Neurospora crassa OR74A: one gene and its partners. The protein of the gene in region 4 binds, or shares a complex with, the protein of the main gene of each other region. Links are inferred from orthologs where the notes say so. Each region holds a gene or a part of one and is shown on either strand. Other genes may lie near its edges. The genes, in order: NCU06469, NCU07549, NCU07852, NCU02804, NCU08552, NCU05714 and NCU06768.

Region 1 (4,250 bases), on a different chromosome or scaffold from region 4:
AACATACAACAGGTCCTCCAAGCCCTCCACGCCAAATCCTTTCTCGACGCCACCATCCTAACCGACATCTTTGAAGTCCTCCGCGAACGCGGCGAATCCTACGTTTCCTCCCAAGGGGACCTCGTCCTCTCCCCTTCTGCCAACAACAACAACAACCTTTCAGCAGCAGCATCGGGATACGATACCAACATGCCCCCCTCGCAAACCGCCATCCACTCTTCCTCCTACCCTCCTCCTTTTCCTCCATCTTCTTCCACAGCAGCAGCAGGTACCCTCCCCACCAGCACCAACGCCACCAATGCCGCCGGCGGACCTTCCTCTAGCAACCAACAGCATAGCAATTTGAGCAAACGCGGCGGAGGCGTCAACACTGCCGCCCCTCGTCTCGACAAGAAACAAGTTGAGCAACGTATCGAGGAGGATCGTGAGCGGCATAAGAGGCTGAGGGAGAACATCTGGGCGGTGCCGAGCGGAGACGAGCTGGATAGATTGCTGGAGGAGACGTCAGAGTTGGGGGATGACGACATGAGGGCGATATGGGAAGAGCAGGAGGAGTGGGAGAGGAGTTTGCAGGCGGGGATTGGAGGGATTGGAGGGAGTGGTGGTGCGGGGTGTGGGCATACTACCTCTACCAGTAACGGGGGTGAGAGGGATGATGGTATGAATGGGAATAACATGAAGGAAAAGCCAATGTCGATTAGTGGGGAGATTGCCGAGATGGCGAGGAGGAAGCAGCTGCAGCAGCTGGAAAAGGAGCAACAGGAGAAGCAAGATAAAGATGTGGAGATGACTTCGGGTTAGGAAACCGACGGAGGAGAAGAGAACCTGGGAATTCAAGACCAGTAGGAATGACACGGGTGGTGGATACAAGAGGCGCGCTGGTAGGAGTGCGATAGAAAGAAGAAAATTGAAGGAGGCAAGGAGAAGGAGGTTGAGAATAAGAAACAAGGAAGTTACCGATACATGGGGTATGCATGGGATGGCGTTTATGTTTTTGGCTGTTTAGTTATCTTCGGTATCCATAAGCGAAAGTGGGGAGATACTATTAACTCAGAAGCGGCATCTGCTCACGGTAATATCGTCGACAGACTCTCATGTTTTCGCTGACAACCCGTTCTTCTATCCATCCCAGTTCTCGTAGTATGATATAATGTTACATGTTTCATTGCTTTTTGTACACGTACAAGTGGTATATGTTGTTGTGAGGAATCTGTGTCCGCCACTCCCCCCCTTTCCCCATGAGGATATAATGTAGATGAGACCGAGAATCCCCCTTTATGTGTTTCCCAAGGCCCTGGCATTTCTTCCAACTCTGTCCCGTCATGATCATCATTATAGGAAAAAAAAAAGAAAATATCTTTCCGGCATCTGTGTCAGGAAAAGATCTCCTCGTTTGGTTCTTTTTCTGCGGGGGAGGGACGTGACCATCCTACAAAACAACAACACACATACACACACACACACACGGCGCCTCCACCCACCACACCACCACACAGAGACCATAACCATAGCAACCAACCCTTTTACTAGGCAGAAGCAGCAGTTTAGTCCATGGTGACGGTGGCGCCGAGCTCCTTCATGGCGGCGACAATCTTCTCGGCATCCTCCTTTGGTACCGACTCCTTCATGACCTTGGGCGCGCTCTCGACGAACTTCTTGGACTCTACTAGGGAGAGGCCGAGCAGGTTCTTGACCTCCTTGATGACCTTGGGCTTGGCGGCGGCGTCGAACTTCTCGAGCTTGAGCGTGAACAGCGTCTTCTCGGCAGCGGCAGGGGCGGCCTCCTCCTCCTCAGCGGGAGCGGCGGCGGGGGCAGCGGCGGGGGCGGCAGCGGCGAAACCACCGACGGGGAGATCGGGGATGTTGAGGCGGGACTGTTTTGTGTAAAAGAAGAGAGAGAGAGAGAGAGTGAGTGTTAGTGTTGGTGCCCATGTACATGTGTGCGACTTGAGAGTCTAGGTAGTATAAGATAGGTCTGTCTGTCTGTCTGTCTGTCCGGGGCCGGGCCGGGTCGGGTCGGGTCGGGTCCGGGGCGCAAAAACATCCGGAAACCTTGAAACATGCTCCGATTCGGGTTTTGTGTGTCCCGGTTCCCGGCCCCGGTTGTTCTTCTTCTCGTGCTTTATTTAAATCGGGCGTACCTTGAGGCTGGACACAAGCTCCGAGGTCTCGAGGAGAGTCAGGGTGCTGATCTGGTCAACAATGGCGGCGATCTTGGGGTTGGCGGCAGGGGCGGCGGTGGACTCGAAGCGCTTCTGGACGAGGAGGGAGCTCGAGGCCCGGGTGGATGCGCGGAGCTGGCGGGCGGCGCATTGCGCGGCGAAGCGAACCGAGAGAGACATTGTTGGTATGTGTGTGTGTTGGTGGTGGTGGGTTGTGTGGATGGATGGATGGAGAGAGGGGAGTCGGACTCGGACCGGAGGAAGGAAAGAGAGAGGGCGCGCGGGGGCGGTCGGATTGGGGTTCTCTTTTTTTGGTGAGGGAGGCTTGCCGTCGACGTCGACTTCGAGGATCGTACAACCGAACCGTACAACAACTAAACGGAGATATTTTTTTGGGGACGTTGTCGCGCGCTCCCGGGTGCTGCGAAATCTGGGACCCACTACTGGCAGTTGGCAGCTTGGTGGTTTGGGCGTGCAAGTTGGATCTATGACGGCTGGCTGACCCGGAGCTGCAGCTGGAGGGGAAAACCCAAGCTGCCTGCCCCGCGCGAGTCTGGGGATTAGGTACCTCTGTACCTTGAAGTCCACTGAAGACGCGCTAAAGGATGGGCCCCTGTCATCCCAAGCGCGCCCCTGCTGCCGCTGGGCTGTTCGTCCCACCCGGAACTAGGTTCCACTTTTGAAGAAGATGGCTCCCTTGCCTGCCGCAGCCGACTTACACTACACTATGTAGAGTACTATGCAGTACACCCCAGCACATGCGCCTAGCGCTAAGTAGCATGTACCCCGCACTATCGTTCAGCGCGATAAGGAATTTCATGTGGGAAAAAGTTCCAAACGGGAGAAAGCGAAGTTCAATGGGCAAAAAAGTTAGAGATAAAAAAAAAAAAGAGACTAAGAAAAACATCACCGTTTTTCACAACGACGACGACGACGACGACGACGACATCCACGCCAACCCGTCCCGTCGCTTTTCCCTGGCCATGATGGCCGTGATCGATGTGAGCCAGCAGAGGGCGTCGCTCCTTAGCGATGCGACCACCTTGGACCTCTTGCCGCCAGAGTTGCTGCTCATAATCCAGGATCACCAATCGACCAAATTCCTCGATGCGATCGCCAGCGCCGCTCTTGTCTCGACAGCCACCGACCGCATCTTTACCCATTTCGAGTCTGTTTTTGCCGATATTTGCGCCAGATGGATTCTGTCTTCTCCAAAACTCGATACGCGAGTCCTTGCCGCTTTCGCAAGGATCTTGCCCTTCGCCCCGTCGCTGTCCGTCTTCCTCGTGTCGCATCTTCGAGGAGGATCTTTTGGTGGTGTTAATGGTGGTAACCACAACGACAAAAGCAACGACAATGATGCTTCTTCAAAACTTAAACCTCTCGATTCCCTTGACCTAGCTTCGATCCGCCCAGATGACCTCCCAATTGTCCTCCTAGCCCTCTGGAGGCTCAACAACTTTGACAAGCGCACCTACGCCGGCCTGTCAAAGCCATCCCAAATACAGACCCTGTTCGCACACGAGAACCCCATCGTCCGATATCTTGCCGTCCGAATCTTCTGCCAGCTTCATAATGCCGCCGATGTCAAGATCGAAGCCCTCCTCGAAAAGCACATACCCAAAGATACCAGCCTTGTCGCAGAGCTCGACGGGCGCGAAGCCGACTATGCGTTCCTCAGCCTACACGAGGATTCTAGACGTGAAGACATTCAGAGCTCTCGCAGTAAATCCCAACAAACTAGTGCGGTTGACGATGCGGTTGTCGAATTGAATATCACAAACATCCCAGAACAGAACCTCACTCCTCTAGTTGTCAAATATGGAAAGACAGTCCTCCCGCGTCCCCTCGGCCCTGTGACTGCTCCCACCACCCTCGCACTTACCCCGACGACTGTTGAGAACCTCGAGAACCTCACCGGGTGCCTGCAACGACCCGGGCCTATCCTCCTCCACGGCCTGTCCGGTTCCGGCAAGACCTCCCTAGTCCACGAGATTGCGCGCGAGTTAGGCAAGCAGAAGCAACTAGTGACACTACACCTGAACGAGCAAACCGACGCCAAGATGCTGCTTGGGCTATACACCACCG
Region 2 (3,970 bases), on a different chromosome or scaffold from region 4:
CCCAACGGCGCCTTCACCGGCGAGATCAGCGCCACGCAGCTCCTGGATCTCGGCGTCAAGTGGGTCATTCTCGGCCACTCTGAGCGCCGCAACGAGCTCGGCGAGTCGGACGAGTTCATTGCCTCCAAGACCAAGTACGCCCTCGACAACGGCATCTCGGTCATCTGGTGCTGCGGCGAGTCCAAGGACACGCGCCAGGCCGGCGAGACCATCAAGTTCGTCGAGAACCAGCTCGCCGCTCTCGCCAAGGAGATCAACGACTGGAAGAACGTCGTTATCGCGTACGAGCCCATCTGGGCCATTGGCACCGGCCTCGTCGCCACCAAGGAGCAGGCCCAGGAGGTGCACGCCGCCATCCGCAGCTGGCTCAAGCAGAACGTCAGCGACAAGGTTGCTGAGGAGACCCGCATCCTCTACGGTGGCTCTGTCAACGCCAAGAACTGCAAGGACCTTGCCAAGGAGCAGGACATTGACGGTTTCCTTGTTGGCGGTGCCAGCTTGAAGCCCGAGTGTAAGTACTACCTGCCATTGTTGCAACGAGAGGAAGAAAGATGGCTAACATGATATGATGCAGTCGTGGACATCATCAACGCCAACCTGTAAATTACTTGCCCATAAAAAGTTATAGCTTTGCTACAGCCGCAATCATATAGGCTGGGAAATGGTGTTGAGGACACGGCGAAAATATAAAATAGTTAAATGTCCTGATTTTGTTCGATTTGGGATTGAAGAACGTAGTTTCGCTTCATGTAGCCCGTTCATGACTTCTGTGACACCAGATACCGCAACTCCGCGGCTCCTCCATTCGCTCTTAGATGTTCATCCCAAGTTCCAATATCAACAGTCAACCACCAAGCACCAGAAGATAATGTCAGATTCTTTGGAACTGGGGCAACTCATCATGGGAACTCGATAGCTCTGGAAGGACTTGATCACAACCATATAGCCAAACCGAAACCCTTGATACATCCAGAAACCCTTTTCATGTCCTCAATTCATATTCATACATTCAACATGGTATATACAATCCACCTGGTACTGAACCGAGCCAACACCGGCCGAGCACCAAATCCAGCCCAGCACCGATCCAGTCCATTCCAGCACCAGCACCAGCACCTGCTCCTCCCCCTTTTTCCGCTTTATACAGCCATACCCTGCCCATGGTAAGGCGACCAGACACCTCTGACACTGGGGTTCGTGCTGGTGACGGGCTTCTTGAACTTCTGGGGCTTCTCGCCGCTCGCGTCGCGGAGGAGCTCGGCCTTCTTGAGGATCTCGAGCGGCTCCATGTTGCGCACGCAAATGGCCTTGGTGCGCCCGTTGATGTAGTGGCCCATGAGGATCGGGTGCTTGGCGGGCCGGGGAGAGACGACGAACTCGATTTGCGGGTTGGCGGCGGCGAATTTGGGGAGGAGGGATTTGATGAAGCCGCTAGATGGAGGAAGAAGTAAGTGTTAGTGAAAGAGTCTGTCTGCTGAGGTCGCGAAGGGAGACTGGAGGGATAAGGAGGGACGAGGAGGGACGAGGAGGGACGAGGAGGGACGAGGAGGGACGAGAAAAAGGGTATGTAGTGGTGGATGGATGGATGGATGGATGGTCGGGGACGGCGGGATGGTCTCGAGATCTTGGGAGGATGTCGGTTTGGTTGGACGTGTAGAGGTATTGGTATATGTGAAAGATGTTCGATCGGGAATGAGGTTGCGATGTCCATATTCGAAGAATCCTAAACGTACTTCATGCCCCGGGAGCTGCCGGCCCAGTCACTGTAGTGGATGTCCAACTTCTTGCACTGCAAGACGAATGCGCCGACGCCATTCTAGATACAAAACAATCAACGATTAGCATTCTTTTTTTTCTGAAAATTAAAGTTTTTAGTTGCTCAGGCTGCGGTCTAACTTACACGGCCGGCAGAGGAGATCTGCGTCAATGCTTTTACCGTCATTGTTGTGATGCTCTTCTTCTTCTTCTTCTTCGCCGCCGTCCTCGCCTTGCAACAAGTCCGAGTCCACCAGGGTTCATGATCCGGAGGGCGGGTGCGACTTGAACTTCTGCCAGACTCCCGCCCCGTCGCGCGCCGGCACGGCACTGGGGGTGGGGGACCCGCCCAACTGCAAAAGCGGTTGGCAGAATCAATTTCACGCGATTGCACTCCTCCTTGGGTGTGTGCGTAGTGATAACGAAGACGACCTAAGGGTGCACGGTCCCTCTTTCGCACTCAGTCGTTCGGTGGTCGAGCGCGCGAGAAAGCTGCCCAGCAAGAGCTCCAGTCGCTGCGAGGCTGCCAGGCAGTGGACGACACAACACCAGACAGGGCCCTTTGCTGCTCCCGCCTCCCACCCTCTGTCTCTCGTCTTCAGCTGTCCAAGCAAAGTCGCGAAAATGCGGGTTTGACCTTTCTCGCAAACCGACAACACCACATTATCGCCATCACAAGAATTGGCAAACAGTAACAGCGTTCAGCCTTATTGAACTGTTCTCGCCCGGCTTTCCGAACAGTGGATCAAACGCCAGACGACCTACATTTCCTGGTTTCCGACATATCGATTTCATAATTCGACGACAGATAAGATCAACAAAAAAACACCACTTGACCAGCTACAACAGCGACAACGTGAAGCGACAATGACAGACCGGCTCCCGCCTAACCTCCTCGCACTCTTTGCGCCCCGGCCACCTCTGCGCTGGGTGCCGCCCTGCGATGTTGCTCCCGAAGAGCGCAAGTCGGCCTTCATCACCCCCGTTGCCGACTTCCTTCCTGCCATGCAGGCCTACGAGCAAGAATACGAGTACCATCCCACCGAGAGCTGGCTGGAGGCGCGCGACCGCAAGAAGCGCGAGAAGAAGGAAGCTTTGGAGAAGCTGTTGACCGAGGGTCCCAAGAATTGTACGCGGCAAACCCCCAACGTTACGCGCAGTTGTGCTCGCTACTCCTTTACTTGATCATGATCTTGCTGTCGTGCGGCTTGCTAACCGATGGCGTTTATCTGTAGACAACCCTAATGACGATCCCAACATCAGAGGAGATGCTTTCAAGACGTTGATAGTAGCGCGTCTTGACTACCGTGCTGATGAACAGGATCTCGAGCGCGAGTTTAGCCGCTACGGTCCTATCGAGCGTGTGAGTTTGCAAACCCCCCCTCCTCCTATATCATGATTTCACAGCTATGTGTGTGTTAATTGACAAGAACTGACACCAAAAAACAGATCCGTATCATCAGAGATACCCACGCCGATGAGAACCCAAACAAGAAGAAAAAGCCCCATCGTGGCTATGCTTTTGTCGTTTTCGAACGCGAAAAGGACATGAGAGGTAATGACCAGCCCCCCTTGACCCCCCCCCCCCCCCTCTTCTTGACATTCAACCAGCACACACAGACAAGGAAACGCCCGCTGTCGGTGCTTTTCTGTAAGCCCACAACCAGGACTCGAATGGCCCTCAAGCTTGCCTGTCCTGCGGAAACTTTTTCGTCTTCCCTCTATCCATTCATCTTCCACGTCGTATACCTTAAAGGTAGTATTGTTTCTTCATGGTAAGGCCTTACTGACACCTGCGCCTGTGGCGCATGCGCAATCCAGCTGCTCTAGATGGCTGTGATGGCGCCCGTATTAAGGATCGCCGCATCAAGGTCGATGTAGAGAGAGGCCGCACGGTTAAGGGATGGAAACCTCGTCGTCTCGGTGGCGGCCTTGGTGGTCGTGGTTACACCAAGGCAATGCCCGCTAGGCCCATGGGTCCCGGTGGATTTGGCGGTCCCGGTGGCTTCCGCGGTGGTGGTTTTGGTGGCGGATTTAGAGGACGCGACCGCGGCTTCAGGGGTGGTGGCGGCCCCGGCGGCGGCTTTGGAGGTGGTGATCGCTTCGGTGGACGTAGCGGTGGCGGCGGTTTTGGTGGCGGACGTGACGGCGGCCGTGGCTTCGGCGGCCCAGGTGGCAGCAGTTTCTCGCCTCCGTCTAATGCTCCCAATGGTCC
Region 3 (4,271 bases), on a different chromosome or scaffold from region 4:
GGACTTGGAAGAAGTGTGCCAACCTGGCGGCCGTTCAGGACGGTGTTGAACGCTTCGACGCTGCGTGGGAGGCTGCCCGCAACATCACGCTCAAGACATTTGCGGAAGACGAGTCGGCGTCGGTACAGAACACTATGTACAAGATGTGCGAGCAGATCTTGGATGCGGTACCCGAGACGGAGAAGACCAACTATTCGCTACCCAACAAGCACTACTTTGAAGTTGGTGAGTACCCCTTTCGCAAATCCACCAAAAAAAAAAAAAATAGGTCCAGATAAATTTACACTAACACCCAAAAAAAAAAAACAGATCTCAGTTGGCACAAGGGCCTCCAGAACACCGGCAAGGACGCCGAGGTGTACGCTCCCCAGTCTGGTCCCAACGGTCTCATCAAATGCGAGGTCTCTCGCTCGTAAGACTGTTGAACTTTGTTTTTAAAACGTCACACATGTTTCTTTGGCTTTCTTTTATGATATCACCATTTTTTTTTCTTCTTTTTTTTTGCATTCCCCCTCACGTTCCGAGGGGTTGGTTGGCGGGCAGGCGTACGTTTTGAAGGTGGAAAGATGATGATACCTTGATGCAACGGATCATCATGAGACGGAGGCTATGGACATCTTGACTGGCGCTAATTTTCAGGGGTAATCAAATAAACTTCCTATTATGAACAAGCAAGCATCCGAAAAGCACTGCTAGCTGCACTCTCGAATTACCAAGTGAAAAAATATGCCGTGAAATCGGTGAGGCTGACTTTTTGCCTTCGCGGGCCTTCAGCGTGTTGGACATGAGGATCTGCTCATCGCTTATCAGATCAAACAATCAATGAGTCTAAACAGCTCTCATGAGTCGTAATCATGGTATCTTGTTGAGTGATATATTTGTACAATGAGAGGCCCCCTTTTTCTAACCCAAGTTCGTACACTGTCCGTTGCGCGCTGGGCTCATGAACCGGCTTCCCATGTAATATACAGACTGACACTGGCGGCATTGCCCGTGAATCACACGGCCAAGTGGGCTGTAACAGACACAAGAACACACGAGAGAGATTTCTCGCCCCAACGAGGTGGTTGTCCACACAATCTTCCTCACAGTTGACAGAGTTCTCAGTCTTCGTCGGCTAGATGGTTCGTAACGGCTCGATGTAGATTCGTCCCTACATCTCTTTCTCTCCCGTTTCTCTGACACTCTTCCATGAGTAGATAGCCAGCTCCAGCGCCTTCAACCAGACCTTCACACCTCAAAGCCATGGTCGCTCATAACCTCTCCATGTCCGCCTCCCGGATAGCCTTGACAGCCTCCTCCCAACCTGGAGCGCCCACCACCTTACCGCCAAATCGCACCAAGTTCTCCTTGTACGGGTGCGCATCACCCTCAAACGCCTTGAGCCTCGCCAGTCTCTTGTCGCGCAGCCTGTTCTTGGGAAGCATGCCGCTGACGGCCTTGCGCAGCACCTCGGCGCCGCCGTGCTTCTCCATCAGCGCATCCATGGTGATGGCCTGTAGCGAACCGGGCCGGGTGTTGTGGCGGTAGTACGTCTTGCGCCACTTCTTGTGGCCCGTCGTGTACAAACCCGCGCAGTTGGTCACCACGACGTAGTCGCCGCAGTCGGTGGAGGGATCCCAGATCGGCTTGTGCTTGCCCATCAGGATGGTGGCAATGCGCGAGGCGAGGCGACCGAGAGAAGGGGGAGTGATGGCCTCGGAAGGAGCCTTGATGGTCGAGAGGGTGGGGTGAGGGGTGACGGCGGAGATGTGGTGCCAGACACGGGAGTAGGCTAGTCGGGTCTACACGTTCGTCGCAAGACGGCGGTGGTTAGTGACGGGTGGTGGAGGTGGTGGTGGTGGTGGCGGGAGGGCGAGCAAGTGCCAAAATTGTAAGAAACACGACGAAATTATGGGACAGTTGTGTCCGAACAGGAAGAAACTTACAGCTCCGACTGTTTGCGACATGTTGACGGTGTTGCGCGGTGGTGATGTAGGTCGTATACTATGGTGTTCAAGAGAGGATTAAGGTGGAGAAGGCAGGTATGAAAACCAGTGGGAACGAGTCCCTCATCGACTGGTGGTAAGTGAACCTCTATGTGTTATCGTCCGGGTCAATTGAATGACACGGGATCGGGCGGGCTCCGGAGTGTTCGAGACGGCGGGTTCGGCAGGCGCGAGAAAGTCCGGGGCTTGTCGCGGCGAACGGGTATCAAATGTGGTCCGGTATCACGGGAAGCAGAATGGAGCTCCTGCAGAAGGGCAGCAGCAGAGCCTGCCAAGCCCAAAAGCTGCAATCACTTTTCTTGCCGGAAAATTTCCACGTACGATTGGGGCACGACGGCCCGCTGGCGGTTGGCGGGGTGGCTACGGTGGTCCGCAAGTCTTAGTGTGTAATTGAGGAAAGCACTAACAAACACCAACTCGGCGCACTTAGAGCTCTCTTTTACTGATGTCCCATGTACCAAAGCCTGCACTTCCTTTCCCGGTACATATCACACGCTTTCGGGGAGCAGGATTGCCCTGGCTTGGGCCGATCGAGGAGCCGGACACAGCGGAGCCCCAGTTGGTCGCCCGCAAAAAGTGGTCCCAGAAAGGTGCCGTCGCTTTGAAATCAACATTTTGGCAGGCCGACATCTACCTTCCTGCCGTCTTACAGTGAAGATGGGAAAACGACATTTCGCACTCCAGTGAGGTGACTTCATGCACTCTCTTGTCGAGAAACAATGAGGAATCTCAGCACAAGAGTCGCATTTACCCCGTCTCTTAAGCATCCGTAGACTGGAGCCAAAACGTTATTAATTGTACCTAGTCGTCCCCTCCTTCGCCGAACGTGGGGCTCTCCTCCATCGCCTTCTATACAAATCCATCGTCTCACGTTGGTGTTGCTTCTCACACCACCACTTCTATACTGTCCTCAGTATTGTCTTTGCTACCTCTTAGTGCCTGAAACCGATGCCACCGTACACGGCCAGACAAATCCTAAGTATTTCTAGTCTAGCTTTAGCAGGTTTTGGAGGCGCATACCTTTGGCAACAACGCCAACAACATAGGAACTATTTTCAGTCACAGTCATCCCCGGCTGCTCCCAAATCATCAATCCCGAAGATAGCCGGCAACATGGCTTCCATCACAACCCCCTTCAAGGTTTGTTTATACCCTTTTACAGCCTCATTTTCATATATGCCTACATATGAGCTTCGGTCCAAGCCCTTCCTTTTCTTTAGATAAAGGGTCCAAGCCTGTCTCACATATCTGACTCACCTTGACATACTTCCAGAGGCACATCATACTAACTCATTTCACAGACTCTCTTCGCCGTGCCCATGCACTGCGAAAGCTGCGTGAACGACGTCTCCGGTGCACTCTACAAGCTCCCCGGAATCAACAAAGTGGAGGCCAACCTGAAGGACCAGCTGCTCACGATAGAAGGCACGGCCGCGCCTTCCGCCATCGTCAACGCCATCCAGTCCACGGGCCGTGACGCCATCCTGCGCGGTTCCGGCGACTCTCAAGGCGCGGCCGTCAGCATCCTCGAGACTTACCACAAGCCCACCCTAGACAAGATCACGCCCGCCCCGGGAGCCTCGGACCGCATGGTCCGCGGCCTGGCGCGCATGGTGCAGGTGAACAACTCGACCACGCTCGTCGACCTCACGCTGCGCGGCATCGCGCCGGGTACTTACCGCGCTACGATCCGCGAGTTCGGCGATCTTGCGCGGGGTGTCGAGTCGGCCGGCCCGGTGTGGTCCGGCACTGCTACGCTGACGGCCGACACCAAGGCGCAGATCTCTGGAGACCCTAACGCCCCGCGCGGCGTATTGGGAACGGTGGAGATCAACAAGGACGGACGCGGGAGCGTGTTCCTCAGCCACCCGTTCCAGATCTGGGAGGTGATTGGGCACGCGTTCGCTGTTGCGCCGGTGTCGGTGGATGAGAGCGCGGGAAGTACGTTGGAGAACGACGAGAATACGGTGGTGGGCGTGATTGCGAGGAGCGCGGGCGTGTGGGATAACGATAAGACGGTGTGCTCGTGCACGGGGAAGACGCTGTGGGAGGAGAGGAAGGATGAGGTTGAGAAGGGGATGCTGTGATTACCATGCGAGATGTGTATGGTGTGATGAGGTCACTTTGCTAGATGTACAATATGGGCAATGGATGGGTGGTTGCTAAGAGGCGGACCTGTGTAGATATTGGGAATATGCATAGCGGTTCGGAAAGACCAAGCTAACACGTACGGGCAGGTAACTTGTAGGATATGGTGGAAATAGTCATATTCTATTGCGATCA
Region 4 (3,711 bases):
ACCACATAACAAACCCGCAACCAAATCGTACAATCCGCGCACTGAACCAACACCTCCCCCAAGTCGGCATTCTCTTCCAGGTCTTCTTCCGTTAGGGCGAAGCCCCGCTCGTTGCCGCACCGGCAGGGGCGGTACCATGTGTCTTTTTCATTACGACTAATACCAGCGGAGGACGAGGTCTCGTGTGGTACGAAAACCATGTCGTCTAGGTCGATGGTGTCGATGCCTGTTTGGAAGTCGTCGTCTTCTTCTTTCCTAGTAGTAGTGAAGCAAGAAGAAGAAGAAGATGAAGAAGAGCGAAGGGCGGCGTCGTATTGGGTCCGTAGAGTGGGGGAGGAGAGGGTGGTGTATGCGAGGGAGATTTGGTCGATTGTGTAGCGTGTTTTTGGGGGGTGATGTCCTTTGGGGTGGCTGTTGGAGTGGCTGTTGGAGGTAGAGGAGGAGAAGTTAGAGGAAGACTTGTCGGGGTGGTGGGTGAGGAGGGCGCGGCGGTAGGCTTGTTTGATCGAGGCGGGGGTGAGGTCGGAGGTGGTGGGTGAGAGGGAGAGGATTTCGTAGAAGGTTGGTTGGGACATCTTGGATGTGTTGGTGGTTTTGCGGTTTGGTGTTCAATGTGGTGTTTGGTAGTGCGGCCCCGGGTATAAAATGGTATGGTTGTGAGACCGGTTTGGTGTTGAAATGTATCGACGTGTAAGTGGTGAAAGGTTGGTGGTTTGCGTCGAGCAGCTTTCGAGAGAAAAGTTTGTATCCCGCAATCACGTGTCTCTTTGCGCTCGCTGCCCTTGTTATGTTGCTGTATACAGTAGGAAATGTGAATAGGCAAAAAAAAGAGGATGTGTGATGTGTCGGTTCTCACGTGGTGGTTTGAGTCTTAGTTGTGTGCCTGGTATCGTGAAGTGAGTTGTTCAGAGAAACAAATTCGGGGGGGAAATTTTACTGCACCGTTAGACACATTACCTCGTCTCGGCCTCCAACCACAGTGGGGAACTCCGTCTTATAAGACGCCAGAGGACGTTCAGTCAACAACCGGGAAACAGAACCACATTGATGGCAATCCCCTTCCAAATGGCTTGAAATTTGTTGTACATTGTTGGTGATGATACAGTCTATGGACATGGCAGTGACTCTCGTTGTAATCTTCCCGACAAGCGACAACAACCGATCGCTTATTTGGGGAACTTGGTCCAGTTCCTCTTGCCGACCTGTAGCGAAGCCCATGGTTAACAAGAGTGCAAACCGCAAGAGTTTGGGCGCAATCCTTACCTTTTTCCATTCCCGGATAAGGTCGGGCATAGCCAGCATGGCCTCTCTCCTCTTCTCCATCCTGTGTGCGAAATCCACCGTCAGCAAACCACCACTTCCTCCCAACCAGCAGCAGCAGCAGCAGCAGCAGCCGAGGATCGACAACGTACTTGGCAACCAGTGTCCTTTCGTGCTTGTGACCCTTGACCTTCTCTCCAACACCGGTACCCTTGACACGGAGACCGAGCTCGACTCTCTTCCGTAGCTTCTCCTCGTTGAGCTTGCGGGTGAAGGGCAGCAGCTCCTCGACGCCGTGTTCCTGGGCCAGCTTGACGAGCTCGGCCTGTCGCCTGAGCGAGTACTTGGGGTTGTGCCACTTTCCGGTGATTGGGTGCTTGGTGGGCATGAACGGGTTCGGGCTCTCCTCCTGGTAGGGCGTCTTGTGCGTCTCGGGGTCGGCGCCGGCGGGCAGGATCGAGGCCGGCGGGTACCGGGCCAAGAAGGTGCGCAACCGCGGTGGGAGCGAAAGCGCCAGCTGGACGTGCTGCTTCACCGTGGCCGCCATGGTGAAGATGTCGATCGACCGGCCTGCTGGCGGTACTGTGTCGGTCGAGGTGGGGGGGGGGGTTGTTTGTTTGTTTGTTTTTGTCGTAGGTGACAGGGTCCGGATTGCTCGAACGAACCGGAACGGGGAACTTTGCGATCAATCGGCCGCCGACGGGACCCCAACTGCGAAAAAGTTCCAGGTCGCGAAACGGTACATAGCGACAGCCGGAAGTTACACTTTGAGCCCTAACCCGACCTCTTTAACCCCCCGCGTAAGGCGGGGCATGTGGAGACCCTTGAACAGGCACGACAGGGATCACCGACCTTGAACCGTGACATAACTTTTGGGCGGGTCGAGAACTGTGCTGCACCGCTGCTGCACCCCAGAACCACCCAAGTTCGCCATAACAACAACCCCATTCCGGAACCCAGCACTGCTTGGAAATCAACACGTTTATTGTCAACACTGTCGCCTCCGACCAGTCTCTTCCTTCGATTCATCACCAACTCCATACACTACCACGATGAGCACGACATCAAGACGGGAACCCCCAGACCTGGCAGCACTGCTGCGCAAGAAGAAGGAGGAAGAAGCCGCCGCCGCGAAACCAAGATTCATCCCCAAAAAGGAACGAGAGAGGCTAGAAGCCGAGAAAAAGGCAAAGGAAGAAGAGGAACGCAAGCGCAAGGAAGAAGCCAAGCCTCAACCAAATGGAACAAATCATAACGGCAACCGCATGGACGGTATCCAGAGTCATCACAACCACAACCCTCAACGAAACATCCCAACCGGACCCAAGGCGATGCGGTACGACGATGACCGGGGACCCAACGGCATGAGCAACGGTCGGGACTACAGAGACAATCGCGACAACAGAGATAACCGAGACAGAAACCAACGGGGCGCAAAACGCGGCGCACCCAACGATGACGAAGAGAAGCGAGCCAAGATGGAGAGGAACGACGAGGCAGAGCTGCGCGCCCGCTACATGGGTCCAGTAGTAAATCAGTCCACATTCTCGGCCAAGAAGAAGAGGAGGAGGACGGCAGCGAACAAGTTCAACTTTGACTGGGATGCCGATGACGACACTAGCCGACCCTTCGACCCCATCTACGCAGAGCGTCAAGAGCCTCTGGTCCGACTTGGTGGTTACGAGATGACGGAAGAGATGGTGATGCGGAAGGCCGAAGCCATCCGTCGTGGCGATCCCGAGACGGGCGAGGAGCGCGCCAGGCAATACCTGGAACAACACAGACGGATCAAGGAGATGGAACAGCGCAAGAACCTGGGCAAGCACTGGTCCGAGAAGAAGCTGGAGGACATGAAGGAGCGCGATTGGCGTATCTTCAAGGAAAACTTTGGCATTGCCACCAAGGGCGGTGCCATTCCCAACCCTATGCGCAGTTGGGAAGAGTCCACGCTGCCTAGGCGTCTGCTCGACATTGTCAAGAACGTGGGTTACGACGAGCCGACGCCGATTCAGAGAGCTGCCATTCCCATTGCCCTTCAAGCACGCGACTTGATCGGTGTGGCCGTGACGGGTTCCGGTAAAACTGCAGCTTTCTTGCTGCCTCTGCTGGTTTACATCTCCGAACTACCACCCCTGACCGAGTACAACAAGAACGACGGTCCATATGCCCTGATTCTGGCGCCAACAAGAGAACTGGTGCAACAGATTGAGAGCGAGGCCAAGAAGTTTGCTACACCTCTCGGATTTACAGTCGTCAGTATTGTGGGTGGTCACTCGCTCGAAGAGCAGGCGTTTGCTCTACGGAACGGTGCCGAGATTATTGTCGCCACACCTGGTCGTCTCGTGGACTGCCTTGAAAGACGTTTGCTCGTCTTCTCTCAGTGCTGCTACACAATCATGGATGAAGCCGATCGTATGATTGACCAAGGTTTCGAGGAGCCGCTTACCAAGA
Region 5 (4,182 bases), on a different chromosome or scaffold from region 4:
CACTCTTGTTTCCGTCAGCAATTGAGAGCTGAAGCTGACCGCAAAGTGAATGAATAGTGCACTCTCTCGGCCTCAGGTCTCACGATGTGTGTCTGCAACGAAGCCAAGTGCAGCCAATGCGACTCGACAGTGGCTGACAATGACAGGCGCAGTCAAGTGATGGTGGTGGTGGTAGTGGTGACAGCCAAGGTCACAAAGTATTGAAATTCAAGCTGAAGCTGCAGCTTTGATCGAAAGGGACAGACTTGTTGTTGTTGTGGGTGGTGGTTGACGGGAGGACAAGGACGTGGTCGCGAATGAGGTTGCAAAGAAGGGCGGGCGGGCGGCCGAACCCTTGAGAAAGCTGAAGAGCTGAGTGGGAATGACTGGGGATGGAGGTCAAGCTTGGGTGAGGGTCCTTTTGCGGTCCGAGTCTTGTTGGTGGTTGGTCGGACTCGGGGGGAAATGGAGTTGGAGTGGTCCGGCGAGGCGGGTTGCCGTCATATGTATTCTTGTACTTGTTGTCTGTCTATGAATTCCTGAACTCAAGTGTGAAAGTGCGAGGAAACTGCAAGGTGGTGCGGGCTTCTTGCTTTTGGCTGCAGGGATATGAGGCAATAGCCTTGTTTGAGGGCCTTGCTATTTTACCTGGAGCTGTAACAGGAAGAACAGCAACAAACCGTTTGGTGGCAGTGAAGCTGAGGTGAGAATAAGCTGAAGCTCAAGGTAAAACTGCTCAAATCGATTGGAGAACAGGGAAAAAGGGGACGAGCAGAAACAAAACAAAAGGGGGCCCGGCATTGCAAATCTTCGCCTCTTTACTCCTCTTTTCACGATCCCACCTGTTGCCGTGGTAGCGGTGGTCTAGCCAAATTCCGAAAGACACAATTGGAGAATCAGCCGACGGGGGAGCGGGGACTTGGGGGAGAGTGGGAGACACCATCCTGGCTGGAGCTTGGTTGCGCCGAGGTTGTCATTGGTGGTTTGGGTCAGGGCTGATGGAATGTTTCTAACCAGATGGGGATGTTGCTAGCAATGGACGACTTGAGTCTCAACGATCATCTGGGGTACGCTTTCAGAGATGGGTACTGTATGTATATCGCTGTCTAACTTGCCTCTGGAGTCGTCGGGTAGAGATACTATGACAAGCTGTTTGCAAGCTGACTTGAGATGGTACATGCCCGGGCTAGCTGTCTGATTGTGTCCAGAATGGCCGCACTCATTATCTTCCTTGACAAATACAGACGATTCAACAGTTCATTGTCCAATAATGACTTCTCATAAAATGTGCTCATTGTTAAACTCTTCTTAACATCAACTACGGTCATTGAGTCCTCACATGTTCTGTTGCTGATGCCTCAGACTCTCACACTTTCAGAGCTTCAACTACAGCTACTTCCCGAAAGCGTTAGTGTAGTCAAAAAAGCAGCTATGTAAAGAGCATGCATGAGACACCCCTCCCGACTGGCTCCACACTCTTCGTCCAAGTTTTGGCGCGTCCCCTTCTTCTCTCTTTTCTCGCGTTACTTAGGAGCCTGCTTACCTAATGCAGGGTACGTACCTCTAACCTGGCATCCCCGTCCCGCAAACAATTTTCGATGGGGTCCCCGCGTCCGGCGGGCACGACGGACAGCAGCCGGCCGGCCGGTCATCAATCAATCAATCAATCGATCGATACGCGGCGTCAACCGTGGAATCCCCATTCAGTTGCCGGGTTTCGGTCCTCTCGACAGCCAACTAACTTCAGCCACTACTCGCTCGGTAACAGGGACAGAGTAACCGGTTGCCCAAGATGATTCAACTAAAGGTTTGTTTTTTTTTCTTCTTCCCTTGCTGTCGAACGAAAGCAAAAAGAGTTTGGTTGCTAACGAACCATGCGAACTGCAAACAGACGATGCTCAACTGCATCGACAACTCGGGTGCTGCCCTGGTGGAATGCGCCATGGTTGTCGGCCAAAAGAGGCATGCTTCGATTGGTATGCTTTCGAATTCCCTTTCGATTTCCGTTATACACCCACGAACCCATCGTCGACTCGAGCATATCATATCTACACGAACTACCCGATCCCTCTTTCGTACCCCAACACCAACACCGTCGTCGCCGTTCATACCCGTCCCATCCCGTCCGATTCTTCTCGTCCGACCAAGGAACATCTGGTCTTATACACATATCATACTTGCCTCTTGCCCCTCTTGTTCCTCCCTCCCCCTTCTTTCCCCCCTCTTGTCCCCCTCCCCCTTCTTTCCCCCCTTCTTTCCCCTCCTCATACCTCAACTAACAGAAGAAAGGCGACCGCATAGTAGTAGTCGTCCAAAAACAGCGCGGCGCCGACTCGGCCGGCATGGCCGCCTCTTCGGCCGCCACCAAGGTGAAGCGCGGCGACATCCGCCACGCCGTGGTAGTGCGCACCAAGCAAAAAGTCCAGCGCCGCGACGGTTCGGTCGTCCGGTTCGACGACAACGCCTGTGTCTTGATCAACAAGGCCGGCGACCCGATCGGATCGCGCATCAATGGTGTGGTGGGCCAGGAACTGCGAAAGAAAAAGTGGAGCAAGATATTGAGTATGGCGCCTATGCAGGCTTAGCTAGGCTTGATTGATCGATCAGGGAGGATATATGTACGATGGATGTAGCGGGAGAATCAAGATGGAATGAAATATGAATACCCGTAAAGAAAAAGAGTTGAGTTTGTTGGGGTGGGATGTGGCGTGACGCTCCTTGAAGTGAAGAGGAGTATGCTCGGTGGGATGTGTCATTGCGGTGACTTGGTGACTCTCGTGGGGGGTTTGGGTGTCGGCTCAGCTTGGGTTGGCTGTGTTGAGGTAATGACTGACGATGAGCGCTACGGAACATCACTTTGTTGATATCTGACGGAACTGTGGTTTGTGTGTCTACGGATTTCCAGGATGGACTTGGGATGGCCTGGCGTATACGGGTTTGAGACTGCGACGTTGTTCTCAAGGTACGACGGCTTCACACACCGGACATCACACCAAAATATGGTCTCATCGAACGGCCTTTCTTCAAGCGCCATTTTGGGTAACGATCAGCCAGCAGCAGCCGTCACATCAGTCGATTAGGTTTACCAGTCACTTCAGTTCGGGACATCAAGCGTGCCGTCCTAATCTGTGTATACTACTGTACATTACATGTCATGTCAAGCAAAACAACATCACCATTGCATATCACACGAAACAGTTTATAACGTTATCCACGAGATTCATGGAAAGACCATTTCTAAACCAGTGTCCTGCCAAAGCATGAAAAAGAAAACCAAACGCCCTAAACCGCGGTCCTTTTGAGTTAACCGTGTACAAACGCCACTGTAATGCAACTCATCATGACCCCCTGATCTTTATTAATCAACCTGTGATTTTTTCCGACCGCCCGCCTGTCCGCCTATAACAAGGATCGATCTGGCCCTATTCCTTCCGAGTGAAGAGTGAATCCCCCACTACTGGTAAATATTACCACAATCGCAGCAGACGTAGAAAAGTTTCTGAAAGTAACGTTGTTAACCCATGACTCTGGTGAGCCCCTCCCAGGCAGGTGAGTGAGTCTTACCATTCCGGTTTCCGAAGTACGCTGCTGTGACTGGAAGAAGACAGCTTCCGGGTGGTGGCAGGCAGGGCATTCCTTGATGGCTCTTGGGAGCTAGATAGCAAACGAAAGAAGAAAAAGAAGAGATTAGTCTCGATGCAAGCCAGAGCAAATGACAAGAACAAGCCAAATCCAGGTCATCGCCTCGCGGACCAGACCCCGCCACCAGACGGACGGAGACTTTTGGGTATGCGCTGTGCTATGCTATGCCGTGCTGTGTGCCAGTCGTGTCGTGTGTCGGGTGCTGTAATCCCGAAGGTGGGCGAACAACCGCGCCGCCATGATTATAGATGTATTATAATCCTGATGTAATGGGTATGCCGTAACCGTAATCGCTGTGACCGTAAAATCAAAAAGTCGTAACCTCGTGAGAGCGGGAGATGCGTCGTCTGCCGGTCATGTCCTAAGCTGCCGGGACTTGAACAGGCAGTTGGCTTGATGCCGCCAACTCCGTGTCGGTGTCGTCGAGCTCCATGTTTTCAGACTCGATGGAGTCCTCCTCTTCTTCGTAGTCCTCAAAGGCGACCAAGTTGTAAAAGTACTCTTCGGCACGGACCCTGCCCATGGCCTCCCTCTCGCTGCTGTTGGAAGCCCAGACATGAC
Region 6 (4,441 bases), on a different chromosome or scaffold from region 4:
CTAGCAGCGTCGCAATGCGACTCGTAATCTGGATGCAACGGAGGGCTGTTGGAGGGCTGTTGGATGTAGGTACCGCCACTGGTAGTGTAGACGTAGGTATATAAGCTCCGTCAGGATTGGCACTGCAAGGAACAACCCCAATGGGCCAGGGCTGAAGATGGAAGAACCAAAGAGTGAACAAGTTAATGATGAGATTATGGCAACCTCAGCCAGAAGAAGAAGAAGAAGAAAAAGAAGAAAATGAAACACAGAAATGAAGAAAAAAGTTGAAGCAGGTCGTGATGTTGACAACGACAAAGTTTGGTCTCTCCCGCTCGAGGAAAGAAAAGTCAAGATGCATCAATGATGACGCCGCGGCGGGCAGAGTGGGTGGAGGGCACGCGCCGACTCCAAAGCTGACACAATCCCGTTCGGGAGGGCTGCATACAGTGGCTTCAGTGGACGGTTCCCGCTGTGGAAGCTGGGCATGGTGATTAGGGGCATTAGACTGGTCCGTGCATACTCCACTTTCTTTAAGCCGAAGGTATCGAAAGTCACCCGTGTAATTACCGTAATTACAAGACATATGGTCGGCATATGGTTGACATATGTCAATATTAACGATTCACATTCACATGCGGGGGCCTCTCACCGGCCCCCTGCACCCCCGGAGCTAACCCTAACCCTAACTAACCCTAACTAACCCTAACTAACCCTAACACTAATTGGTAATTTGCAGAGAAGTCGGGTATTGACGGCTGTTTTCGGACGTAATTACAAGCTGGTATGGAGAAGGTACCAAAAGCGACCTGGCACGTGATCAGACCCATATTTTCTAATGCCCCCATTCACCGTCCCCGTGGAAGCTGCCCTGGAAGGAATGGCCGGGGACCGCCCAGGACCGGGACTTGACCGGGGTCAGCTTGCGGGATTGACATGTCACTGGCCAATGGCTGTTCTTCCGACTGCCAGGTACGGGACAGCAAGTCTTCGAGATCCGTCGTTTGGACCATGTCAACACGCAGCCAAGTGATATTTACTTTATAAAGCCCATCTTCGAACTACGATGGATCGCAAAAGCAGGAACACGTCAATCAAGGGAGTTTCATGATTCACCTGCGTTGTCAGCAAGTGGAGTGCTGGCCGCATGTGGGAATCCACTCCCGTAGGTGAGACCTGTATGATGTACAAGGACCCAAATAGAACTGATCCGAGGAGCAAGACGCTGGACTGACAATACGCGGATGATAATAATACAACACAAAGCACAGAGCCATGAACGGGCCCAGTACCTATCATACAACAACGAGGAAGAGCGCAACAACGAGTCTCGGAAAAACCGCCATCCCAGGCAATGTTCGTGTTCATTAGAAGAGCTTCTCCGACGCCACATCCCCGGTCTTGCTGGCCTTGACCTTGTCGGCCCTGACCACCTTGACCTTCTCGCCGCCCGTCGGTACCTTGAAGTACAAACTGGGCGACTCGCCAGGCGCAAGCTGGTGGCTGAGGTAGCCCCTATGCGCCGGGTCTCTGTAGTACTCAATATCCCAACGGCTGGTCGGGTCCGGCAGGCGGTAGTACTTCTTCTTGAGCGATCGCGCCTGCGCCAGGATCTCCTCCACGTGCTCCTTGCCCACCGGCAGCGGCTTGTCGGTATGAAGAGACTTGCCCTCTACCAGACGCTTGAGCGATTCCTTGGTGTAGAATCGGGTGACGATCTTGCCGCCGGCAGCCTCGATGGCCTCAATGGCGGAGGCGGACGCGCGCGATACGGTGATGGTGACGGGGATCTTGAAGCTCTCCTTGCCGCGGCCGAGAAGCTTGATGCCGTCCTTGATGCTGCTGCCAATGATGCCGGACTTGATGATCTCCTTGGGGGTAATGGGCTTCGTGGGGTCGATACGGCCGGCTTCGATCCATTCCTGAAGCTTTTCGAGGTTAAGCTCGGACATGTCGGCAGCGAACCTATGAAAGACACAAATGGTTAGTCTCCATCATGTATCTGGTAGGTATAGGTTATCGGATAGCATGCTGGAGAGTTCTTGGCCATGGCGCATAGCAAGCGAGGTAGGGAAGTCGGGACGGCATACTGGTTAACGAAACCCTTGCGGCCGTGAGAGACGATCAAGGGCGTCTGACCACCCTGGAACCATGGCTTAACATGACCGTGGGCCTTCTGACCCTTGGTACCGCGACCGGCAGTCTTGCCATAGCCGGACGAAGGACCGCGACCCTTGCGAATGCGCTTGTGGTAGGCGCCCCGGTTGTCGGACAGGCTGGCGAGGATGGATGCGCTCCTGGTCTGGACGGAGAGGGCAGCAAAGAGCGAAATGAGGGACGACGTCGGCGACGAGGCTGGGACCGAAGGGCGGGCTGTGAGGGAGGCCTGGCAGCATCGCGCCGCCTGGGCGAGCGGTAACCTGGGAGGCATGACGGAGGCGGAGGACACGGGAGTGGGTTGGGTCTGGGTCGGGCAGTCTTCCGGATTCCGTTCCTCACGGCAACGGCACTTCCCCGAAAACAAAAGTTCAGGACCCGCGCCCAGCCAAATTCCGACACCTGCGTCGCGGGGGTGGACCGTGCGCCCTCGTTGGTCTCGGTCAATTGCGAATGGGCGGCTGAGTCAGCAGCTGGTCCACATCCGACGTCCTTCGCCAAGGGACCGTGATGCTCCAAAATATCCATGTTCGATATCACTTACACGGGATATGCAAGAACATGTCAAAGGTTCAGTGCGGTGAAAGTCCCTAAGAGTGATTGTACCGCGGCTTAACAGGCTGAAGAACATCTGGTGCGAGTTTAGGGAATTTTTCCACCCAGTCGGAATGATCATAAATTGAGTGTCCCGAGGCCATTGGAGGTGCGTTGAGAAAATATTGTGCAAGTACAACTGTGGGATGCTTAAAGTATTGCCTTTGAGAGCAACGCAAAACAGGCAGCCAAGAGCAGCTCATACTAGAAACCTATTATAGATGGGTCTCAACTGCGACCTACGCTAGAATTACACAGAAGTCCTGAAGTAGGGCGTGTCGAAGGGGGTTCTGTGTCAGCCATGAGCCAATCGAGCTGGTGGGGTTCGGGAGTGTTGAGAATGGCATGAGTGACATACACGCTGGAATTGCCTGAATGTTACTTTGATTTACTGAAGGTGTTTGTATGGCTGATAGAAAGAATGTAATTGTTAAGCCTTCTTTGCTGTCGGATAACGTTTACTGCAGAACAGAGCAAGGGACAGCGTGCAGTCATTTCGCGGGATAAACATAACCGATCGTGATGGAACTTTCCAAGTCAAGCAGAGAAGCGCCGCTCCGAAATGGCTTTTCACTCAAGTCTGTCTGAATTTCAAGCATGGAATGTCAGTCCCAAGCCCAAACCACGCGCCAGGTACCTGCCACCGCTCCTGCCACCGGCAATCGGTCGGCACGCCCTTCACCGACGGGAACATCGGATGACAAGATCCCTTCCCGCCCAGGCCGCAAACCTCTAGTACCCTCTGCTGTAGCCTACAGGTATTATATAAGGTCGGGTTCCCTAACTGATCTCTCTGGCATAACGGAACTCTGTGATCTTTTGGCACAGTGGTTCCCGTTGATGAAAATGTGTGGCTTTTTCGTAGGTCTGCAGTTGGGGTATTGTCGTTCGTTCTACAAACTTACCTGGGCGACCGAGCTTTTTGCTCTTCATGTCAATTGGACAGCCTCTCAGGGCCTCAAAAATGTGGTCTCTCAATATTTGCTTTCTGTCTTGGGGCTGATAAATGGGTTTCTTTGCGAGCGGGAAAGATCCCATGGATGTGGTCATGTTTGCGGCAGCGACCTGATCGTTTTCGTGTACAAGTCAAGCCCTCACCACCCATGGATAGCACCTTCCTTTTAGGAAAGCAACTGGGTCAGTTTCAATACGACTTGAATGCCAGACTACTTTCTCTTTCATTTGACGTTCAATATGTTTACGGTTCTTTCTTCGGTCTTGATTCATGTTTTCAAACGTCGTTGTCTCTATGGATTATCAGGATGTCCACATCGATGTCTCTCCTGGCTGCCTTCTCAATGCCAACCGTTTGCGCAACTCGCGTTCTTCCTTCGGCGAATGAGGTGCGACGTACTTTCCTTGACATCTCCAAAGTGTCCACAGCAACTGTCCGAATTTCACGGGATCATAACATCAACTTCTAGGTCGCCATCAATTGTTCTTGTCGTCTTTGAACCTGTGACCTGACTTTCTCTCTCGCTGTGGCACATTGTATCTCCTTCTAGTCTTGCTTGACCTGAACATGAAGCGGCTCAGCTGTGGCAATGTTCCCAACTTCGTGTGAGTTGGGATTTGTATTGTCACCTGGAGTTACCATGTCGCATGTTCTTGGTCCCAGCTCCTTGTTCGATCATTTACGAAAAAGAGGCATGTCCTTTCCTTTATCCCAGCGTGTCGTCCCCTTCCCTCTAGCAGAACCGGTCATTCATCG
Region 7 (3,662 bases), on a different chromosome or scaffold from region 4:
TCTCTGGTGAGGTGGTCGGCCTCGTTGATGACCACCACCTTGAACCTCTGCTTCGCCGACAGATCTACTTGTTGTGTTTGCGCCACCTCCTTGAGGAGGTCCTGGACCACTACTCGGTCGTAGTTTCCGACATCGGACGGGGTGATTTCGAGGTGGTACACTGATGCGACAATGTTGAACTCGAGCTTGCGGTTGCTGCTGGTTTGGAAAACACGGGCGTCGATCTTGATCTTCTCTACACCTGGGCCGTACAACTCCTTGAGGGTAGCAACAATTCGCGTCTTCTTTCCTGCGCCGGAAGGACCGTAGACGAGGAGGTGGGGAAAGTCACCGCTTTGCGCCTAGGAGTGTCATCAGCGGGGAGCTTCTTTTGCACGAGGGGAACAAGAGGGTCTACTTACAAGTGACCGTAACCTCTCCGACAATTCGGTATGATAGGTGAGGGCATCGAGAGACCTCGGCCTGTGCTTGTCAACAATAAGCGCCATCGTGGTGTGGTGATATTGTGGAGAGGAAAATGGGTTGACAACGGAAGGGGAAAGAAATGCTGGATTGGAGGTGCATGGGAGACGCGTCGAGTTGACGCGCCGTCCAGAAAATCAATTAACAGATGACGGGGGATGGCCGCACGGACCATATCACCCGCTTATACAGGCCCTGGGGTAGACAGTTGCCCACTTTCGCCATCAGTATTCTAGGCAGCTATCTTGAATCTCTTTGAGTTTTGCAACGTCCGATGCTGGATATTGGATCTTCCATGAACCGACATCTAGTATAGGGCCCATTTCATGGCATGGTTGAAAGGGTATATCTAGGAAGCCAGCATTGCTTGTTGACTCGATGTGGTGCTCTGGCCCATCCAGGTAAACTGGTAGTAGCTTACGGACACATTCTCAGAGCATTGAAATCAAAGTGGTGATGCTTGTTACGTCGTCATAATAATCATGAAATGGCCATGGCAACACTCTTTTGCACATTGGCCCTTCTGTTGTTCTACATAGTGTTACAATTAGAATAGGCTCAGGGTTCTCCACCTCTACGAAGGAGGAGCAGCAGTGCTTGATGTGCTCGCAGCACTCTGGGTAATCTCTGGCATCAACAACTTCTTCCTTGGGTTCTTGAGGTCCTCCACCGTGAGGCCATCCTCCAACTTGGTGATGCCAACCACTGGTGGGTCACCCTTCTTCACAAACTCGTACAGACCTATGACTTGTCAGTTTTCTACTCTTCTCAACCTCGCAAAGATTTTGGGCCAGCATGTGCTGTTATTACCTGGAAGCTTGTGTCCGGCCAAACGGAAGGCATCACGGATGACCTGTTCGTGCAATTGCCCCCTGATCTCGAAGATAATCTGGTTGACGGCAACTCTGGTCGCCCAGTGGTCGAACGAACCCTTACCCTTACCCATACGCATCTACACCGGAAATGCATGTGAGCCTCATGTCCGCTAACAGTCGGCATCCGGCCTTCCCGGGCTGTGGGTTGTTCAGCTGCTCACCTCGTTACCGCTGACGTACACACCGACGTTACAAGCAACGCGCTTGTACAGGCGGTACTTCTGACCACGCAACCTCTGCTTGATGGTGTCCTCGGCGAGCTTGAGCTGTTGGGCGCTAATTCTGCGGTGGTGATCGCGCATGCGCAGGCCGTAATCTCCCCAAACCACTGTTGTTCCTTTGGTCGAACCACCCGTCGGCACTCTGGGCCTTCCCTTCATCATCTTCTTCTTTCTGTTGAGGTTGGGCTCGAGCCACGAACCAGCCTGGATGGCGGTCGCAGAGAATAGGCGGACATGGGAGGCGACGGAAACGGGGGTCGGCGCAATGGGGCGACGGACGGCAGAGGTTGCGAGCGACGCGGCACGGAAGGGAGTCGCCGACGAGGATATCCTAAGGCCCTGGAAGGCGCTGAGGAGCGCCGAGGAAGCGTTGTGCTTCATTGTGTTGAAGGTTTGGGTGTGGACCGGACCGGGGAGGGGACGAGTGGTGGACGGAGGACGGAGGGAGGGTCCAATTGGATGCCGGTCGCCGACGACGATTGATACGGATTCCCCGAAGCAGCGCGCGCACAGAGACGGGGACCGGGCAGAGCGACTACCTGCAATGGAAGGTGCTGCGGGCGCGGACGGGGCACGGACGGCACTTCCAAAAATTGTGACCCACCAAAAAGTGTCGGGTGCCGGCCGCGACATGGAATCTGCCGGACACAGCAGACAAGCGGGACCTGGGACTCATTCATTGACTCCTCACAAGAAATACAGCTGCGTGGGCGTAGCTCAAGGCAGCAAGTTGGCGAATTCTTGTAGGACAAGGCCCCACCAGTCGCGACAGGGGAGCAGAGCCCGGACACAGACTCGCGTCATCCACTTCACCTTCGCGTCTCACTCATCATTCAATTGTTACTTCCGTCTTTACAAGGGACAAGAGTCGACCCGTTAGCTCTTTACCCTTCTAGGCCTTTTGTTCAACAACACTTGTTAGGCAGAAGGACAGCTGCCTGGACAACTCAGACACCAAGAACAAAAGTCCCTACTTCCCAACTCCGCCACTATAAGAAGATGCTTGCTGGTGTCATCTGATTGTTACATCTTCCCAACCTTTTGACACATTCAATTTATCATTTTGTATCCAGTGATTTCTTCTCACATACTCCATCATGCCTGCCGACATTCGCTCGTTTTTTGGTCCAAAAGGTGGCGCGCCGCCTGCTAAGCCGGCAACACCAGCACCCAAGAAGGAAGAGGAGAAGAAGACCCGGGGTAGTAAGCTTGAACCATGATCGCCATCACAAGCTTATCACGTTATATTAACAATCTTGTCGCAGGGCCAAGAAAGGTTGTTGAGGACAGCGAAGATGACGAGGTTGTTGAGTAAGCTTAGTGAAAAGCATCTCTTCTCAGAACTAGCATCTAACCAGCATGTGTAGAGTCAAAAAGCCAACCAAGGCTGCGCCAAAGAAGAAAGTAGCGTAAGTGTTTATGAAACACCTCTCAGTTCCATGTCATCCTATTCCTGCTGACAGACTATCTAGGGAACCCGTAAAAGGAGTTGAAACCGATGCTGCCAAGTACTTTGCAACCTCAAAAACAAAAACTGCTGCTGCGTCCCAGTCAACACCGAAAAAGACACCCGCAAAACCCGAGCCAGAAGAACCAAAAGTAGCGCTTCGAACAAGCCCGCGGAAGAAAGCCACCCCCGCTGCCAAAGCACCAGAGCCTCCCAAGACTACTACAAAGAAGACCTCGACTACGAAGAAACCCACGACGGCCTACAAGAGTTACGACAAGGATGACGATGGCGATGCCTACATGGATGATGAGCACGATGCTGGAGAGGACATATTTGCGGCGGAATTCAAGGGTGGCAGCAAGAGGAAAAAGGACGACGACTATGCCGAGGAGGACAGTGACGAGGAGCTCCTCCCCAAGCCCAAGCGAATGGCATCTCGCGCCAAAACAGCAGCCGTAGCCGAGTCTGACGACGAAGACGTCAAGCCTGGACCCAGCAAGCCGAACAAGAAATCTACAACTACTACGGCAGGGAAGCGGAAATCCTCGGTTGTTATAAGTGACGAGGAAGACGAAGAGGAAGAAGAAGTCAAGCCAGCGAAGAAGAAGGGAGCCCCCGCTAAGCCCCGTGCGCCAAGGGCAAAGAAGGATGCGG

What was found.
Region 1: NCU02804 (region 4) and NCU06469 share a complex: the UniProt entries of both Schizosaccharomyces pombe proteins name them as parts of the mitochondrial large ribosomal subunit. The link is inferred for Neurospora crassa OR74A from reciprocal best matches to the Schizosaccharomyces pombe genes mrpl25 and mrpl12.
Region 2: NCU02804 (region 4) and NCU07549 share a complex: the UniProt entries of both Schizosaccharomyces pombe proteins name them as parts of the mitochondrial large ribosomal subunit. The link is inferred for Neurospora crassa OR74A from reciprocal best matches to the Schizosaccharomyces pombe genes mrpl25 and mrpl51.
Region 3: NCU02804 (region 4) and NCU07852 share a complex: the UniProt entries of both Schizosaccharomyces pombe proteins name them as parts of the mitochondrial large ribosomal subunit. The link is inferred for Neurospora crassa OR74A from reciprocal best matches to the Schizosaccharomyces pombe genes mrpl25 and mrpl23.
Region 5: NCU02804 (region 4) and NCU08552 share a complex: the UniProt entries of both Schizosaccharomyces pombe proteins name them as parts of the mitochondrial large ribosomal subunit. The link is inferred for Neurospora crassa OR74A from reciprocal best matches to the Schizosaccharomyces pombe genes mrpl25 and mrpl38.
Region 6: NCU02804 (region 4) and NCU05714 share a complex: the UniProt entries of both Schizosaccharomyces pombe proteins name them as parts of the mitochondrial large ribosomal subunit. The link is inferred for Neurospora crassa OR74A from reciprocal best matches to the Schizosaccharomyces pombe genes mrpl25 and mrpl10.
Region 7: NCU02804 (region 4) and NCU06768 share a complex: the UniProt entries of both Schizosaccharomyces pombe proteins name them as parts of the mitochondrial large ribosomal subunit. The link is inferred for Neurospora crassa OR74A from reciprocal best matches to the Schizosaccharomyces pombe genes mrpl25 and mrpl16.

Annotation. Positions count from the first base shown.
Region 1 is NC_026503.1:1,524,454-1,528,703, reverse strand, and holds NCU06469 (putative mitochondrial 54S ribosomal protein MNP1), read right to left. Parts: upstream 2,561-4,250; 5' UTR 2,343-2,560; coding exon 2,142-2,342; intron 1,875-2,141; coding exon 1,545-1,874; 3' UTR 1,011-1,544; downstream 1-1,010. Other genes in the region: NCU06470 (hypothetical protein), read left to right, coding at 13-801; NCU06468 (midasin), read left to right, coding at 3,146-4,250. UniProt on the Schizosaccharomyces pombe protein: Component of the mitochondrial ribosome (mitoribosome), a dedicated translation machinery responsible for the synthesis of mitochondrial genome-encoded proteins, including at least some of the essential transmembrane subunits of the mitochondrial respiratory chain.
Region 2 is NC_026503.1:4,405,868-4,409,837, forward strand, and holds NCU07549 (mitochondrial 54S ribosomal protein MRPL51), read right to left. Parts: upstream 2,124-3,970; 5' UTR 1,943-2,123; coding exon 1,901-1,942; intron 1,817-1,900; coding exon 1,734-1,816; intron 1,432-1,733; coding exon 1,140-1,431; 3' UTR 688-1,139; downstream 1-687. Other genes in the region: NCU07550 (triosephosphate isomerase), read left to right, coding at 1-511, 575-603; NCU07548 (hypothetical protein), read left to right, coding at 2,623-2,884, 2,991-3,118, 3,205-3,310, 3,577-3,970. UniProt on the Schizosaccharomyces pombe protein: Component of the mitochondrial ribosome (mitoribosome), a dedicated translation machinery responsible for the synthesis of mitochondrial genome-encoded proteins, including at least some of the essential transmembrane subunits of the mitochondrial respiratory chain.
Region 3 is NC_026503.1:1,107,187-1,111,457, reverse strand, and holds NCU07852 (mitochondrial 54S ribosomal protein YmL23), read right to left. Parts: upstream 2,278-4,271; 5' UTR 1,950-2,277; coding exon 1,929-1,949; intron 1,785-1,928; coding exon 1,254-1,784; 3' UTR 639-1,253; downstream 1-638. Other genes in the region: NCU07853 (uricase), read left to right, coding at 1-225, 310-416; NCU07851 (superoxide dismutase 1 copper chaperone), read left to right, coding at 2,937-3,128, 3,290-4,075. UniProt on the Schizosaccharomyces pombe protein: Component of the mitochondrial ribosome (mitoribosome), a dedicated translation machinery responsible for the synthesis of mitochondrial genome-encoded proteins, including at least some of the essential transmembrane subunits of the mitochondrial respiratory chain.
Region 4 is NC_026501.1:9,063,984-9,067,694, forward strand, and holds NCU02804 (mitochondrial 60S ribosomal protein L25), read right to left. Parts: upstream 2,000-3,711; 5' UTR 1,808-1,999; coding exon 1,413-1,807; intron 1,325-1,412; coding exon 1,264-1,324; intron 1,203-1,263; coding exon 1,167-1,202; 3' UTR 994-1,166; downstream 1-993. Other genes in the region: NCU02805 (diphthamide biosynthesis protein 4), read right to left, coding at 1-575; NCU02803 (pre-mRNA-splicing ATP-dependent RNA helicase prp-28), read left to right, coding at 2,313-3,711. UniProt on the Schizosaccharomyces pombe protein: Component of the mitochondrial ribosome (mitoribosome), a dedicated translation machinery responsible for the synthesis of mitochondrial genome-encoded proteins, including at least some of the essential transmembrane subunits of the mitochondrial respiratory chain.
Region 5 is NC_026503.1:4,950,835-4,955,016, reverse strand, and holds NCU08552 (mitochondrial 54S ribosomal protein YmL38/YmL34), read left to right. Parts: upstream 1-1,474; 5' UTR 1,475-1,771; coding exon 1,772-1,786; intron 1,787-1,870; coding exon 1,871-1,955; intron 1,956-2,268; coding exon 2,269-2,564; 3' UTR 2,565-3,083; downstream 3,084-4,182. Other genes in the region: NCU08553 (DNA directed RNA polymerase II 15 kDa subunit), read right to left, coding at 3,434-3,478, 3,544-3,633. UniProt on the Schizosaccharomyces pombe protein: Component of the mitochondrial ribosome (mitoribosome), a dedicated translation machinery responsible for the synthesis of mitochondrial genome-encoded proteins, including at least some of the essential transmembrane subunits of the mitochondrial respiratory chain.
Region 6 is NC_026503.1:603,832-608,272, reverse strand, and holds NCU05714 (mitochondrial 54S ribosomal protein YmL10/YmL18), read right to left. Parts: upstream 2,536-4,441; 5' UTR 2,411-2,535; coding exon 2,070-2,410; intron 1,945-2,069; coding exon 1,347-1,944; 3' UTR 708-1,346; downstream 1-707. UniProt on the Schizosaccharomyces pombe protein: Component of the mitochondrial ribosome (mitoribosome), a dedicated translation machinery responsible for the synthesis of mitochondrial genome-encoded proteins, including at least some of the essential transmembrane subunits of the mitochondrial respiratory chain.
Region 7 is NC_026502.1:2,003,026-2,006,687, forward strand, and holds NCU06768 (mitochondrial 54S ribosomal protein YmL47), read right to left. Parts: upstream 2,176-3,662; 5' UTR 1,940-2,175; coding exon 1,499-1,939; intron 1,415-1,498; coding exon 1,273-1,414; intron 1,204-1,272; coding exon 1,037-1,203; 3' UTR 902-1,036; downstream 1-901. Other genes in the region: NCU06769 (activator 1 38 kDa subunit), read right to left, coding at 1-341, 402-488; NCU06767 (replication factor C subunit 1), read left to right, coding at 2,656-2,761, 2,824-2,869, 2,926-2,967, 3,031-3,662. UniProt on the Schizosaccharomyces pombe protein: Component of the mitochondrial ribosome (mitoribosome), a dedicated translation machinery responsible for the synthesis of mitochondrial genome-encoded proteins, including at least some of the essential transmembrane subunits of the mitochondrial respiratory chain.